Drosophila melanogaster: one gene and its partner. The protein of the gene in region 2 purifies or fractionates together with the protein of the main gene of each other region. This does not show direct contact. Each region holds a gene or a part of one and is shown on either strand. Other genes may lie near its edges.

Region 1 (8,555 bases), on a different chromosome or scaffold from region 2:
TATTTAAGCCTCTTTATATATGTAAATATTTTAATTTTATTAAAATAAATTATATATTGTTTTGTAATATGATCGAGGGCTGCCACCTTGTGATAAATGCTTACCAACACTTTTAGGTACGCCGTTTAGTGTACGTAAGTTGCGTACCTAGATATCCAGCGAAATCAAAACATTGAGTAAATCGTGGAAAATGGATGAAAATAGCTTAATCTACGGACTCGAACTGCAGGCGCGGGCTTTAACACCTCAGTACGGAGAGAGCAACGATGTGTGCTTCTTCATAGCCACCAACTCCTTGAAGCCCACCAATCAGGTTCACTTAATCCAGTACGAGGAGGAGCAGGGATCCGTGCAATCAAAGGTGAATATCTGGGATGATCAAAGTATGAGCTAAACATACAACTTTGAACAGGTCTTTGAGCACGCCCTGGGTGAAGTTTGGAAACTAAATAGTTGTCCGCGTAATCCTCGCCTGCTGGCCTCCGTCTACAATGTACAAAAGGGAGCACAAGTGCTGACCAAAGCGGCTCTGTTTACGCTGCCCGAGAATCTCAATCCCGATCCGGAGCAGCTGAAGTCAGAGTACCTGCCGTGGGAGCAGGTTGAGGTCCTGGATACCGAAGCACTGGGCGAACGTGTGAAGACCATCGAATTCCATCCCAACCAGGACACACTCGCCTGTGTGGTGGACAACAAGGTGGCTGTGATGCAGCGGGCCGAGTCCTCTACTCGCGTGGTGGCCGAGGTGCCGGCCAGTGGTTCATCCAGTGGATCTGCAAAGCACACACAGCATTTCACCAGCGGCAAGTGGTCGCATCATCATCAGGGCCACCAGTTTCTCACCCTCCAGGATGGCAATCTAAGTGCCTACGATGTGCGGGATACACAGCATTGTGCCTGGAGCATCAACGATGCGCATGGTCAAATGGTCCGTGACCTGGACTGCAATCCCAACAAGCAGTGCCATTTGGTCACCGGCGGTGACGATGGCTACTTGAGGATCTGGGACTGTCGCATGCCCAAGGCTCCCGTTTTCGAGCGCTCCGATCATTCGCATTGGGTCTGGTGCGTTCGCTTCAACACATTCCACGACCAACTGATCCTCTCCAGCTCCAGTGACTGCAAGGTGCTGCTCACGTGTGCGGGATCGGTTAGTTCGGAGACGCAGGTTCAGGCTGGACTAGATGAGTCCAACTTCAGTGGTGCCGATGCCGAGGAGAGGCACAAACTCTTGCCAGATGGTCTGCTGCAGACCTTCGATCAGCACGAGGACTCCGTTTACTGCGCGGAGTGGAGCAATGTGGATCCGTGGATCTTTGCTTCGCTCAGCTACGATGGTCGCGTCATAATCTCAAAGGTGCCCAAGCAGTACAAGTACCAGATTATATTTTAAGCCATTAGTTTCTTAAATTATTACGCATATTTCATTTAAATCTAACTAAACGAATTGTGTCCTTGTATGTAGTAGCAGGTTATACAAATATTAAACCAATAAGTTATTATATGAAGATAAATATATCGAGGGACTAAAGCTAATTAGGCTTAACCTGTATCCTCGGATGTGCAGTCGGAGGAATCATTGGGATTGGCAGTTTCCACGGAACAAACTCGCTTGATCAGCTCGTTTTCGATCTCCACAGTGCCATTGTCCACTGCCTCCTCCATCTGCACGTACTCTATGGTGGCGGCACTTTTCTTGGTGGATAGGACAGGTTTTGCGGCAGCAGGAGCAGGTGTTTCTGCAGTCTTTTTAGCCTGGGCTTCCGTATCATCCTCGGCTTCCTCAGCCAAACTGCTACGCTGCGGCTGAACTTCGGCGTAAATGGCGGGAAACTGCGACTGTAGCTTCTGCTTGATGATCCGTATCTTGCGGAATATGTAATCCAGATCCTTCTTCATTTCGCTCAGGCATTTCACGTGTCTTTTGAAATCCTCGCTGGCACTTTTCAAACGACTCTGCGATAAGGCATTGCAGTTGAGCAGCATCTCGTTGGTTTTCTCAAAGCGTTGCAGCCTGTGGGATATATTTTGGATGTTTATTATAATCTCTGGTTAAATGAAATGGCTTACATTTGCTTTTGAGCCCGTATCATGGTCTCCACATCGCCCTGATTCACCATTCCTGCGAGACTTTGAATGAAGGCCTCGGCGGCGGAGTTGCCGAAGCCAGTGAAGGATTCCAGGTCAGGAGTGGCATCCTCGGACTGGTGCACATCCGCAAGGCCCAAGTGGCTCATTGTAGCCTAGAATTTATTTGTTTATAATAAGGGAGAACACAAAAATTGATTTGTTTACTTGCTTTTCAAGGTCTCAAGGTTTCTTTGCGACAACTTGAACTCTGCTTTGTGTGCGTTTGCTGGCAGTTTTAGTTTTTTCTATTTTTATTTACGTTTTCAAATGGATCTCATGTTTCCATCTATTTTAAAAGTTCTTTTGTTTAGATTTCTTAAAAAAAAAGATATTTTCGTAACAGCTGTTTAAGTACTAGTTATAAACCAGTGCTGCAAGCTGCCAAAATGCAAAAGCACTGCCGTAATTAAATTTGAACATTTTACTTTTTAACATAAAATTAACACTGTTTTATGACAACATTTGTTCCTATTTAATATAAATCAAAGTTTCTTTAGCTATTTAAACACTTAAAAATATTTAAATAATAAAGCTTAGCAGAATGGCATTGGGTATTTTTACGCAAAGCCGTTTTGGTCACACTATGCTCACCGGCTTTTTTTTTATTAAGCGATTGAATTTCCTTATTTATTCTTGATTTAAACGTGCAAAATGAAGCTCGCTCCGACTGTTAAGCTAAACAATGGCTACGAGATGCCAATTCTGGGCCTAGGAACCTACAATGTAAGTCCTTATCATCGGCGATGCTAATAAATCAGCAGGCAGAAATTGTTTATGGAAATTTCTACCATTCAATTCCAATTAAGTGCAATTGTGAAATTGAAAGTTAATTATGTTATCTGTAGTTAAAGAAGTCTCGCTGTGAGGCTGCCGTGTGCCACGCCCTCGAAATGGGCTATCGGCATATAGACACCGCATATCTGTACAGGAATGAAGGCATTATAGGCAAGGTTTTAGCTAAACTTATTGGCGACCAGAAACTGAAACGCGAACAGGTGTTTCTGGTCACAAAGGTAGGATATAGTACAGATGGGTTATATATAGTTACCAGCACATGTAAATAGATCGAAAATCAATATCCAATTAGCTGTGGGACATATACCACGAACCCAAGATGGTGAAATACGCCTGTGATATGCAATTAAAGCTACTGGGCGTGGACTATATAGATCTATATCTGATGCATTCGCCGGTGGGCGTGGACTACATCTCTGATGAAGATCTGATGCCCCACGAGAATGGCCAGCTGAGGACCAAGTGAGTTTGGGATACAACTAAACATACATAGTTTAGATTCAAGAAGCTTAAAGAAACTGATCTTTGGAACTTATAGCGATGTGGACTATGTGGACACCTACAGAAGTATGGAGCAACTGGTGCATCTGGGGCTGGTGCGCAGCTTGGGATTGTCCAACTTTAATGCCAATCAGCTGAAGAGATTACTGGAAAACTGCCAAATCAAGCCGGCAAACCTACAAATAGAATGTCATCCGGAATTGGTGCAAGTCCCATTAATTGAGCTCTGTAAATTTCACAATATCACCGTGGTTGCCTATTCGCCACTGGGGCGTCCCAAAGCCTGCAATCCGCTGCCCGATTACTACACTGATTCCAAGCTACTGGCGTTGGCAGCGAAATACGGCAAGACACCAGCTCAAATCATCCTAAGATACTTGGTATAAACGACCTTAGAATTGTAAAGTGATAAAGATATTTATTGGCTAAAAATCTACAGATCGATATTGGCACGGTACCTATTCCAAAAGCTGCCCAGCGAGCCCATCTCGTAGAGAATCTGGATATATTTGATTTCCACCTAACGCCGGAGGAGTTGCTCCAAATGAAGACCTTTAATACAGGGCGCAGAATCTGGAAATTCGATAAAGCGAAGAATCATCAGTACTATCCGTACTAGCAAGAGATATTTAGTGTTCGGAAAAAAAGTGTAACTATGTAAATGTATAAGATAGAATCTCGTTAGATAGTTTAGTTTTTACGTTAGTTTTTTTTTAGTACAATATTACAATGTTATAAAATGTCATCATATCAATCGTTATCATATATAAATATACTATATTTTGTGCTAGATATGATCCTATTAACATTTTAAGTGCTCACCTGGGGAAATAATTATTTGTATCTCTCTAAATGTCTCTATCAAAGTTTATCGAATCTTTCGTGTGCCTTGCGACGTTGATCAGTTGTATAATTTCGGATATTGTTTCGATTTGTCAATTCGCGGCTCTCCGATATGCTCACAATTTCCTGGCCGAAACGAACGTGTTGCTGTGGTCGAAAATAACAATATACTGATCTCAAGAGTCGCATTATAAAACACATATTTGATTCTGTCAGAAAGGAGAAAGGTTAATGATGAATTTGATATTCTCTATTTGCAGTCGAAGGACAACGAAGGCGAAGCCGCTGTGAAACATGCGATTGATGTGGGCTATCGTCATATAGATACGGCCTATTTCTACCAAAACGAGGCCGAAGTGGGCAAGGCGATTCGGGACAAGATCGCAGAAGGTGTGGTCAAGCGAGAGGATATATTTTTGGTCACTAAGGTAAATGCCATGATGATATGTTCTAGATCTATCAATAAGATTATATTTTTGCGCAGCTTTGGAACATTTTCCACGATCCAGAGCGCGTTGAGGGCATTTGCCGCAAGCAGTTAAGCAATTTTGGCTTGGACTATATCGATCTGTATCTGATGCATATGCCAGTGGGCTACAAATATGTAGATGACAACACCCTGCTGCCCAAAAATGAGGACGATGTGCTCCAACTGAGCGATGTCGACTATCTGGATACGTACAAAGCCATGGAAAAGCTGGTAAAACTGGGCCTGGTGCGCAGCATCGGAGTATCCAACTTCAACAGCGAGCAGCTGGCACGAGTTTTGGCCAACTGCGAGATCAAACCCGTCACTAACCAGGTGGAGTGCTCGCCTGCGCTCAACCAGAAGGCTTTGACAGCCTTCTGCAAGAAGAACGACGTCACCTTGACGGGCTACACGCCTTTGGGAAAGCCCAAGCCGGATATTCAGAAGCCGGACTTTATCTATTCGCCGGAGGTGGCTGTTATTGCCAAAAAATATGGCAAGACTACACCGCAGATTGTGCTGCGTTACCTGGTAATTGAGGCATCAACCTGACCTCAGCGACAGCATCTAATTAAAATCTCTCTTTTCGCAGGTTGGTCTGGGTGTCATTCCCATTCCAAAGTCATCGAATACTAACCGAATTTCTGAGAACTTCGATATCTTCGATTTTGAGCTGACAGCCGAGGAAATGGCCGTTCTCGATGGTTATCACACTGGCGAACGGGTGGTGCCATTAAATTTGATTAAGGGCCTCAACCACAAGTACTACCCCTTTTCAATTGAGTTTTAAACCAGATGAGCGCCTTGTTGCTGTATCACGAATATAATGTAATAAATTTGTCATTACATCAATCTCTATGACAACAAATTGAATGCACGAATGTATCTGCATACTTATTCCAAACCCAAATCCAACACAAAGCTCTTAGTGCCTTGATGTTCTCCATGAAATCCGTCCAGTTGCCAACGATCCGATCCGCACCCCACCGTGGAACTTATTCCCAGAAATGAGGAGCAAATGGAAGCATCGATCTTTGGCACGGCACGTTTGACATCCAAGCTAAAAGGTGAAAATGTTTGAATAAGACCGAAATATTAAGTATTAAGCTTTTACGACCAATGGTAATGCGAAGTGCTCAAACTTGGAGATCACCAATGGAGATTCAAATTTAAGTTACATGTGGAAAAAACTGTATACCTGCATTATTTCAATCATTTCAATAGTTGTTCAGCTTAGACATTGATTAATGAACTAGTGATATTTTTAGAAGGTGCTTCAAGCTTTTCTACAGTAACTTTAGATATAGAAAATAGAAAAAAGTTTAGTAAGTAAATAAGACGTAAAAAAGCATATGGATTTAAGATGGATATGTGATTTAAAAAACGTTCTTTTAGAAGAACTTGTGCTGATTGCCAGCTGTTAGCCTAAATTGCTACATCAATTTTAAGGACGCATTTTTTGTTTGCCAACATTCTCTTATCAATGGATCTTCTATTCTGATGTATGGCCAAAAAATATCACGCGGAAGCTATTAGTTGCGCCAACCGCAGAAATGAAGCATGAAAGTATTATGGCTATTAGTTGATGTACCTATTACGCCCGACAGGCTAATTATCTTTGGATTGTTGGGTACATTTTGGGTTAATCGCGCCGCCGTAGACCTTTGTAAATAGCACCTCGGCCTGTGGGGTGACGTCAGAGCCAGCCAAGATGAGCACGGGCTGAATGAAATTGGGGTCGTCTAGCCTTTGAGCTGCCCCAAAATAGTGCATGGATGAGTGAATTAAATAGCGGACCGGACTTGGACTTACGTGCTGCTCCACGAGTCGATTAGAGGAGAATCTGTGGCATGCGCCACCTTGACCCAGGCCAAGAATAACATAACCCACCAAAACCACTTTCCATGCTGCAGATGGGTATCTCCTAGCTGGGATCGGATGCTCACTAAGTGCTCCACTGAGCCTCTTAGCCTCTCCACTCCAACCAAAATTCCACTCAAGCGTTTGAGTGAGTGAATTGCGGCCGAGAGCGTGAGGTTTAAATAAATTTTCAGTCAAAAAATTGGCAGTTTCGCTCCAAGCGTGCCCACGTTCACATCGTCGCCAGTTCAGTTGCGGAACTCATACACGGATATATATACACATATATTCCGGCGATCAATTAGAGCCCCGGAATTCAGCCACATCCCTCCCCTGCGACGCGTCCAAATATTGTTATATAAGTTTAACAACTTGTGAAATCCACGCAGTGCCAGTGCGTAAGACCAAAAGTGAGTTGAGCTGAGAATTACAACCCCCCCCCCCCCCCCCACATATACCATCTATTTGGTTGCAAAACCAAAAAGGATCGAATCGTGCATTATGTAAAGGCCCGAGAAAAGCGAGGTGGCGGGGAAAAACTTTCGCTTTCACCCAAGTACAGCTGGCTGCAGCTGCTGCGCATGCGCAGATACATTCGCAGATTGCTACTGTTTGCCGGGGATAAACCAGCCACACTATCGACTTGAATAAATCAGGTTCCCAAATAAGATACATTTGTACTTTTTGAGCCAGAAAAGATAGATTCTTAGAATGATACTATAGTTGGTAAATATATAAAATTATAGATATGATATATGAGCTATTTTTAAAGGATTTTTTCATAGGCTCTTTTCATAGTAAGCTATTAAAATGTTTTCTAAAATCTTTGCGCAATAATATTTCAATTTAAAATGTAAATAATAATAATATTTTTAGTTATATTTCGCTAGCTCCTTGAATTTCTCCCAGTGTAGCACTTGCACACCTTTGTTGATTGCTCTAAACTAGGTGCGTGGGTGTAGCCAAACTAAAATCGTATAGTTTTTTGTTTAGAGCCTTTTAATTGTGCTTTATTGACCCACTGCAAGTGCTTCGCTCTAGTCAATTATTTAAAGGCCAATAGTTAGCAGCTCTTCGAGAGTTTTGTAATTCTGTTTGCTGGCTTAATTGCCCAGCCAGACCACAAGAGGCCCGGGCGCACAAGGTCTTCTCGGCCGACAGCCGAAGTTGGCCAATACCGTAAAAGCCAAGTTGGTCGGTTATGTTGTTTGGTTGGAAAACGTACTCAATGCAATGCAATTTGTGCGGTTCGCATATAAATATTCATGGCAAGTGGCTATTGTGCAATTGCCAGGGACAAAGCCATCGACGTGACGGTTTCCTTTGACCAACAGCCACGACCTCGTCGGTAATTCTGGGTGCCATATGTCTAGTGAGTTGGATGGCCAGTTTTCCAGTTACAAGTGCAGTGGAATGGAGTTTTAACTCCATAACGCTACCTTGACCAACCGACTGGAATGGGCCACAAAAGCCTTGGGTGGCGAACGTGGTTAGCCTGGCTAATGAATTCCGCCCTGTAATCAGTGCCATTAGATTCTGACACACATGAATATAAAGCGCTACTCATCCGGGGAACATTAGCGAACTATTGTCGTAATTGTGGCAAAATGCAATCTGCATGATAATCCGGAAAGGCAGATGCAAATCGCCGCCAAATCGTAAACTCAACTGTTTGCCCATTCGAAATACGAAATTGAGTCAAAGCAAACACATATTGGCAATGTGCACGGTCATGGGGTGGGATTGGGCAAGTGCACGGTGAGAAATTAGGGGGTTACTTGCGCGAAAAAGCCTTGCTCTTGAATCTGACTTAGGTAGTAGATAATGAAAAACACAAGTCATTTGATGATTAAGTGTTAACTGTTGTGCCAAACAAAATGTATTTTATAGTGAGATTCAACTAAGATTATAAAGTTTAATTATAATAAGTTAGTAAGTTAACTAGATCATCGTGTAG
Region 2 (6,654 bases):
TTATTTTGGTTTTTTAGCCAGGCCAAAAGTTTACGCATACAGTGGCAATGTGTGTAGTACGTGCAAGGGTACAACTGCATGTGTGTGCATAGTAGGTGGGATTAGGGCTCATCTGCACGGGCTAAGTTTCCCTTATATCCCGTTATACTACTCGAATTCTGTAAACTTAAATGTTGTGAATGAAACTAAAATATAAATAAGCTACATTACTTTGCCAGTCACATTATAGACCTCTTTTAAGCCTCAAAAGCGGCGATTCCATGCGGAATTTAGGTCGTGCGAAGGGGCCTTAAGCGCGTTCTGGGTTAAGAACCCCCGCCCACGACCCCCTTACCACAACGACCCATCCCACAATCCGAGCATCCTTTTTCCTGAACCCGGTGCGATATTTGTTGGTTGATTCGAAGGATTCCCATACCAGATTTTGATTCCGATTCGGTGGTTCTGAATTCAGATAGTGATTCGATTGGATTCGATTTCATTCGACTGGATTTGATTCGTGTTTCGCATGCAATTTGAGTTTTGAAAACGACAAACAAGGTAAAATAATAATAAAATGTGTACCAATATGTCAAGCGTCAACGAATGCAAACGCACACTGAGGTGAATTGTTAGTTGTCTACACACGTTACCTTCGGGTATTGATTGTTTTTTAAAAGAAAACACAAAAAAAAAGCCGCGAAAATCACACAACCAGATTATCGATTTTGGCCCCCGCTGAAATTGGCGCACACAACACACAAATTTGACTGGGGAACGAACAGCGGGCGATGCAAACGATTCGGTTCCGACTTGGAATATATAGCTGCCGAACTATCGGTGCAACAATCGGATCGCTCAACCGGTCGCTCCATCTGCAGGGAATACCAAAACGCCTCAGTTAAGTGGCGCGCGAATGAAGGTACTTGCGCTTAGCCACCAGCTGGGCACACTGCACGAGCCTGCATAGAGTTTTTTACGAAATTATCACAATTTAGGAGTTTTCCAATTAGAATTGGAATAAGTTCGTACTCTTAACTTGCTAACAAGTTGATTTTTAATGCAAAACTTTTCGCAGACAACTTTTCGACAAGAACAGTGCTGCCAGACTGTCAGACCGGCACCTTACTGGCGTGTTTTTATCACATTTTCTAATATTTCCAAGCTATTGAAATATTCCAAAGCTTTCTATCTGCACATTCTTTTTATATAGGTGTTCCCAGAAAATCGCCTTAGCATGGAGAGTCGTGCTAATACGGCGTTGCCAGACTGTCATTGCATTTCTTGTTGCTCTTTGCAAGAGCCCGCCAAATGAAATTTTTATTTGAATACAATTTATTTTTTTCTTCCCCCGTTCTTTTGCTTGTATAATATCCCAACTGGAAAATGTGTACTTTTCAATTACGAAACATGTACAATATATAGCAATAAAGTCCAGTAAAATCGTGGTATGTTTACAATTACTTTTTTGGGCCTGATGATACGTTGCCATTAAAGTGCAATGTCATACCACTAATGTAAGTTTTTTAACCCTTTATACCCCCCAATAGCTTGCCCATAATCCTCCCGTGAACAATCTTGAATCCCAAATGCAAGAACAAAGTTCGAATATTCAACAGGAGCTCCGCCTAATGTATGATGACGCATGTATTTTATACAGATCAAATATTTTCATACCGTTTTACAGGGTTCCGAAGAATAGAAAGTGGTAATTAAAAAAAGTATGCATTCGGTTCACCGAATTCAATTTGAATCGTTTTCCAAGTCAAATCAGGTTGGCTACAATGAGCAGACAGAATGTGGGCGGCGACACCAGATAGTGTCGCCGAATGCATGGAAAGCGATTCAATGCAACGGCCTTCCATCGAAGAAGTGTCCCAGCTGCTGGGTGTTACTTTTTCTGTTTCTTCTTCTCGAGCTCCTCCTCCTTCTCCTTCTCGATGATCTTAACATAATCGGTAATGACATCGGTGTCCAGCATTTTCAGTGGCTTGCCGTTCTCCATGATGGCCACCTCCAGATTGTTCTGGCCTGACTGCGCCACCTCGAGCAGCGCACGGATGGCCAGTTTGACGGCTCCGTGCTCGTTGGCCACCTCCTCCTCGCGGTAGGACTTCTCGAAGAACTCGCGCACAACCTTTGCCGATCGCCCGGTGGCGTTAGCCTTATACTCGTAGAAAATGCCCGACGGCTCAGTCTGGAACAGATGCGCAGAGCCATCGGCATCGAAGCCGCCAATAAGGCAGGAAATACCGAAGGGACGGCGGCCATTGCTCTGCGTGTATTTTTGTTTCAGCTGGGCAATGAATCTAAAATGAAAGGCCAAAACCATATAGAAGCTAATTTAGAGCGCAACTATTTCACAAATCCTCACCTGGTTATGTACTCGAGGGTCACGGGATCCTCGACATTGAGACGATGGCTCTGGCACTCCACCTGGGCACGATTGATCATGATGCGAGCGTCGGCCGTGAGACCGGCAAAAGCCATTACAACGTGGTTGTCGAGCATGCAAATCTTGCGCACCTTTCGATCCTCCTGCAGTTGGGCCACCGACTTCTTCTCCACGCCAAGCACAACGCAGTTGGCGCCGCGAACTCCGACCTGCGAGGCGAAAAATTGGAAAAGTCCATGTTTGTTTCGGTTTGGCGGCACTGCGAACGGTACTAAATTGCACTTACCGCAGTCGATCCCTTGCGAACGGCCTCCTGGGCATACTCCACCTGCAGGAGGTGACCGTCGGGAGAGAATATGGTTACAGCACGATCGTAGCGTGAGGACATCTTGTTGCTTTATTCAATAGCTGAGGTACTTGCAGAATATTAACTTATAGCTTTTTCCTTCTCGAATTCGCCAGGCAATGATGATGCTTTTTTGAGGAAATGCCGCAGTGTGACCGCAGCATGGGTTCGATGAAAATTACTAAATTAATACCGTTTCGCAGTGAACGATATATCGTTGCTGAAATCATGTATCAGAATCAATTCAATTCTTGTTACTTCAGTCTATTTAATATTCTATTCCATTTAGTCTATTTAAATATTTAATTTAATACTTTTGTAAACCGTTTTACAGCTTCAGGGCTGTAAATAATTTAGTAAAATATCAATTAATTTTTTTTCACATTATCTGTTATTATTGTTATTTAATAATACAAATTTATAATACAAATTATTTTCAATATATATATATATATATGTATTAATAATTATAACCAACGACTGTTACTTAAATGTACAAAATGCAATCGCTATGCCGGCCCTGGTAATCGGTGTTCATCGACAGCTTGCTGCAGCCCTCGTCGTCGCTGTAATTACAATGTGATGTGCATTTGTTTTTGTTAATAAGAATTGTCCGATTAAACATTTAGATTATCTGTTTTTAAACAATGCGATCACGGTGATATCGGTTCGTAAAGGTTTTACACACCGTGTGATTTTGTTTCAGTGCGTTTTGTTGTTCGTTTCGTAAATAAGTGGGCTTCATTTTGCCCAAAAAAGACGGGAGCCCAGACAGCTGATCACAGACTTTGGCTCACACCTGCTACAAAAAGATAATATTTATTCGAAAACCTGGCATTCGGATCGAATTTAGCAGCTGCCAGCGTATTTATATAAGAACAATTTGATTGATTATGGCGCTGCCCAGAAAACTGATATCCAAGATCTGTAAGTAAACCGAATGTTCGAAAGTACCGTTGTATATTCCCACACACACACAAGCACGTAGAAATACGACTGCATGTATATATGTGTGTGTGCGTGCGTGTTTGAAATCCTATCGTAAATTCTAGTGTTGCATGCAACTTCAGTAACTTTTAAAACAATACCACGCGTTCTTATAAACAATGCAGATATCCAATAGGAAAATCCCCAGGTGCACATATGTATGTATGTAGATACATATGAACATTGAGTGCAGCTGCAGCTGAATTGTTCGTTTTAAAGTAATTAATATCTTGTTTTACAACGCAATATCAATATCAAATAAACATCATACGGCTTCTTCAGACTTTAAAATAATATTTGTATATAGCCTTTAGAAAACTTCAATTCAATCCCAAGAACTATAGAAGTTCAAAAAGGTTTTAATCTGGGAACAAGTTTTCAATTTCTTTGAAATGCGTACATTTACGTACATATGTATGTACATATATACTGTACATATGTATGTATGTACATCGATTTCCTAGCTTTATTTTATCTGTTTTGCTTTTCAAAATACTAGTAATCCTTGTCATTCATAAATGTGGATAACGTAAAAGGTACTTATTTATTTATATCGACACAGTTTCCTTTGAAAAGATTCAAAAATCATTATAAAATTGTATTTATTGAGTATATACTAATACGAAAATATCATATTTTTATTATTATATATTTGTTGTAAGTTTTCCTTTTGATCTTGAAAAGCTGTTGTTTAAAGCATAGCTTAATCTGAACATACTAACTATATCATCATATCATGAAAACTTGCCGAAGAGGACTAACCAATTCTCATCCTTTGCAGACGATATAAAGGCACATGATAGCAGGGTCACGAGCCTTGATCTTGGCGAAACTGGACGAGTGCTGGTCACCGGAGGAGAGGATCGCAATGTGAACCTCTGGGCGATTGGTCAAAATGAGTGCTTTATGGTGAATATACTAACTACTTCCTAAATATATGTATGTACTAATCGGTGACCCTTTCCTTTCAGTCTCTGACGGGCCACAATCGTTCCATCGATTGCGTGCGTTTTGCTTATAAGGATAACTTTGTCTACTCCGCCGACGACATCGGTATAATCCGAAGATGGGATCTGAATTCACAGAAAATCTACTCCACGCTAAATGGCCACATGAAGAGTGTTCGCACTCTGGACTTTAACCCGTCTGGAGAATATGTGGTGTCCGGGAGCAATGATACCACCGTCAGGTGAGCCAAGGACCGATATATAAATAGTCAGAGTAACCCATGAGTCATTCGGAAGCTCTAGTTTCCTTATCAAGTGGCAGATTTAAAGTTTATTCGTTGATTGAAAAGGGATGGCGATATTCTCCCTCCCTCTTTTAGCTGTGCTTAATCCTATAGAATCGCGTATTTTGGGTTTAATAATCTACACAAAAGAAAAATCTCATATTTAGAAATTAGAAATTTTATATCGGTTTAATGCACATACATATTAGATGCATTGTATCTATATGGTCTTTTCTTAGATATCACTTGACCTATATATGTGTAAAACAAAGATAATATGACTCACTACATTGCACAAAAGGGGACAGGCTGACAAAGATAATATCACTTTGTGTTGTTTAGCTAAAGTTGATATTTCTTTTGGGATCTCATATATCTTATCTCTCAGATCTATTACATCCATGATCTTAAACAACATTGCATTTTCAGTTATGTGATGTTTTATTGGGAGTTTTATAAAAGTGTTACAAAAAAATACTTCTACCACCACGGGCGTTTAAACAATTGCATATGTATAGGCATATTTGTTATAGTGTATGTACAAAAAAAAACGGACGCGAAACGAATTATAAAGTCAATGATAATCCATTGCGACTAAGGCAGACTATGTGTCTCTAGGTGATCCGCGCTTACAGCTTGGCCTGTGAGCTCTTCAGGTCGACATAGGCGCCGGATATGACCTCCTTGCCGGTCTCCACGACCACGGTGCGGAAGTTGATGCGTGTGCCCTGCTTCCACAAGTCCACGCGCAAAGTCTGGCCCGGAATTACGGGTCCGGAGAAGCGCACTTTGACAGCCTTGAACAGAGCCGGGTTGTTGTCCGCAAACTGAGCGAGCACGGCGCGCACCGAGAAGCCCAGTGTGCAGAGTCCATGGAGGATGGGTGTCTTGAAGCCGGCCAGCAGGGCCATCTGGGGATCGATATGCAGGGGGTTCTTGTCGCCGGACAGACGGTACAGCGCCGCCTGGTCCTCGCTGGTCGTATACTGGACGGTTGCGTCCGGTTGGCGATTGGGCGCCGGCTGCAGCGGAACTACACCAGCGATGGGATCCTTCTTGCCTCCGAATTTGCCAGCGCCGACAATGAAAGTGGTGCTCTGGTTGCGCACCAACAGGCGGCCACTTTCGTCGAACGACTCGCTATTGGTGACGACCACGGCGCCGGATCCCTTGTCCATAACATCGAAGACCTTGCCGTTGGTCAGCAAAGTGCCACTGGTGGGCAGATCGTCAACGATCTCTAGGTACTGTTCGCCGTGCAGAATGTTGCTGAAGTCCACTTGGCTGTTGGGCAAAGCCTTGCTGAGCAGCTTGTCGGTGGACATTTGCAGCAGAAGGCCGGGCAGAACGAAGAAAGTTGGAATGGCGGCGAAATCGGCATCGTTTTCGTACAGGAAGCGCATGTCCTTCGCGTTTTTGACGGATGCCCCAATGCCCAGGGCGTAGGTAATAAGCTCTTTGCTATTGAACTCGAAGGCATCCTCGATGGCGTCGCCGCCGCCTTCCTTGAGCTTCTCAAGCACTTCCAGCAGGGTGCCGGAGGCCTCTGCGATGGCACCCAAGTGCTTGGCCTTGGACATGTCGGTCACATTCGACCACACATCCTTGACGTACTCAATGGTCACGGGGTCGTCCAGCGAAGGACGCAGCACAGCGCCCTTGCCGCGAACCATGTGCAGCTTGGTGGCCCAGCCGGCGGCACTCTCGATATAGCTA

The links.
Region 1: the proteins of Prosalpha4 (region 2) and CG10638 purify together in Drosophila melanogaster (affinity purification with mass spectrometry, with the first as the bait; one large-scale study listed by BioGRID). This does not show direct contact.

The regions. Positions count from the first base shown.
Region 1 is NT_037436.4:12,495,463-12,504,017, reverse strand, and holds CG10638 (uncharacterized protein), read left to right. Parts: upstream 1-2,706; 5' UTR 2,707-2,781; coding exon 2,782-2,853; intron 2,854-2,975; coding exon of another isoform or gene 2,976-3,143; intron 3,144-3,217; coding exon of another isoform or gene 3,218-3,387; intron 3,388-3,463; coding exon of another isoform or gene 3,464-3,806; exon of another isoform or gene 3,807-3,817; intron 3,818-3,865; coding exon of another isoform or gene 3,866-4,045; exon of another isoform or gene 4,046-4,217; intron 4,218-4,248; exon of another isoform or gene 4,249-4,416; intron 4,417-4,529; coding exon 4,530-4,697; intron 4,698-4,753; coding exon 4,754-5,269; intron 5,270-5,330; coding exon 5,331-5,528; 3' UTR 5,529-5,912; downstream 5,913-8,555. Other genes in the region: CG10646 (uncharacterized protein), read left to right, coding at 191-361, 413-1,393; CG10681 (uncharacterized protein), read right to left, coding at 1,543-2,014, 2,071-2,237; CG10657 (uncharacterized protein), read left to right, coding at 7,008-7,008.
Region 2 is NC_004354.4:16,272,526-16,279,179, reverse strand, and holds Prosalpha4 (proteasome alpha4 subunit), read right to left. Parts: upstream 2,911-6,654; 5' UTR 2,763-2,910; coding exon 2,661-2,762; intron 2,584-2,660; coding exon 2,354-2,583; intron 2,289-2,353; coding exon 1,871-2,288; 3' UTR 1,593-1,870; downstream 1-1,592. Other genes in the region: Mfe2 (peroxisomal multifunctional enzyme type 2), read right to left, coding at 5,568-6,654; kat80 (katanin 80), read left to right, coding at 3,614-3,647, 4,489-4,616, 4,679-4,896. UniProt on the Drosophila melanogaster protein: The proteasome is a multicatalytic proteinase complex which is characterized by its ability to cleave peptides with Arg, Phe, Tyr, Leu, and Glu adjacent to the leaving group at neutral or slightly basic pH.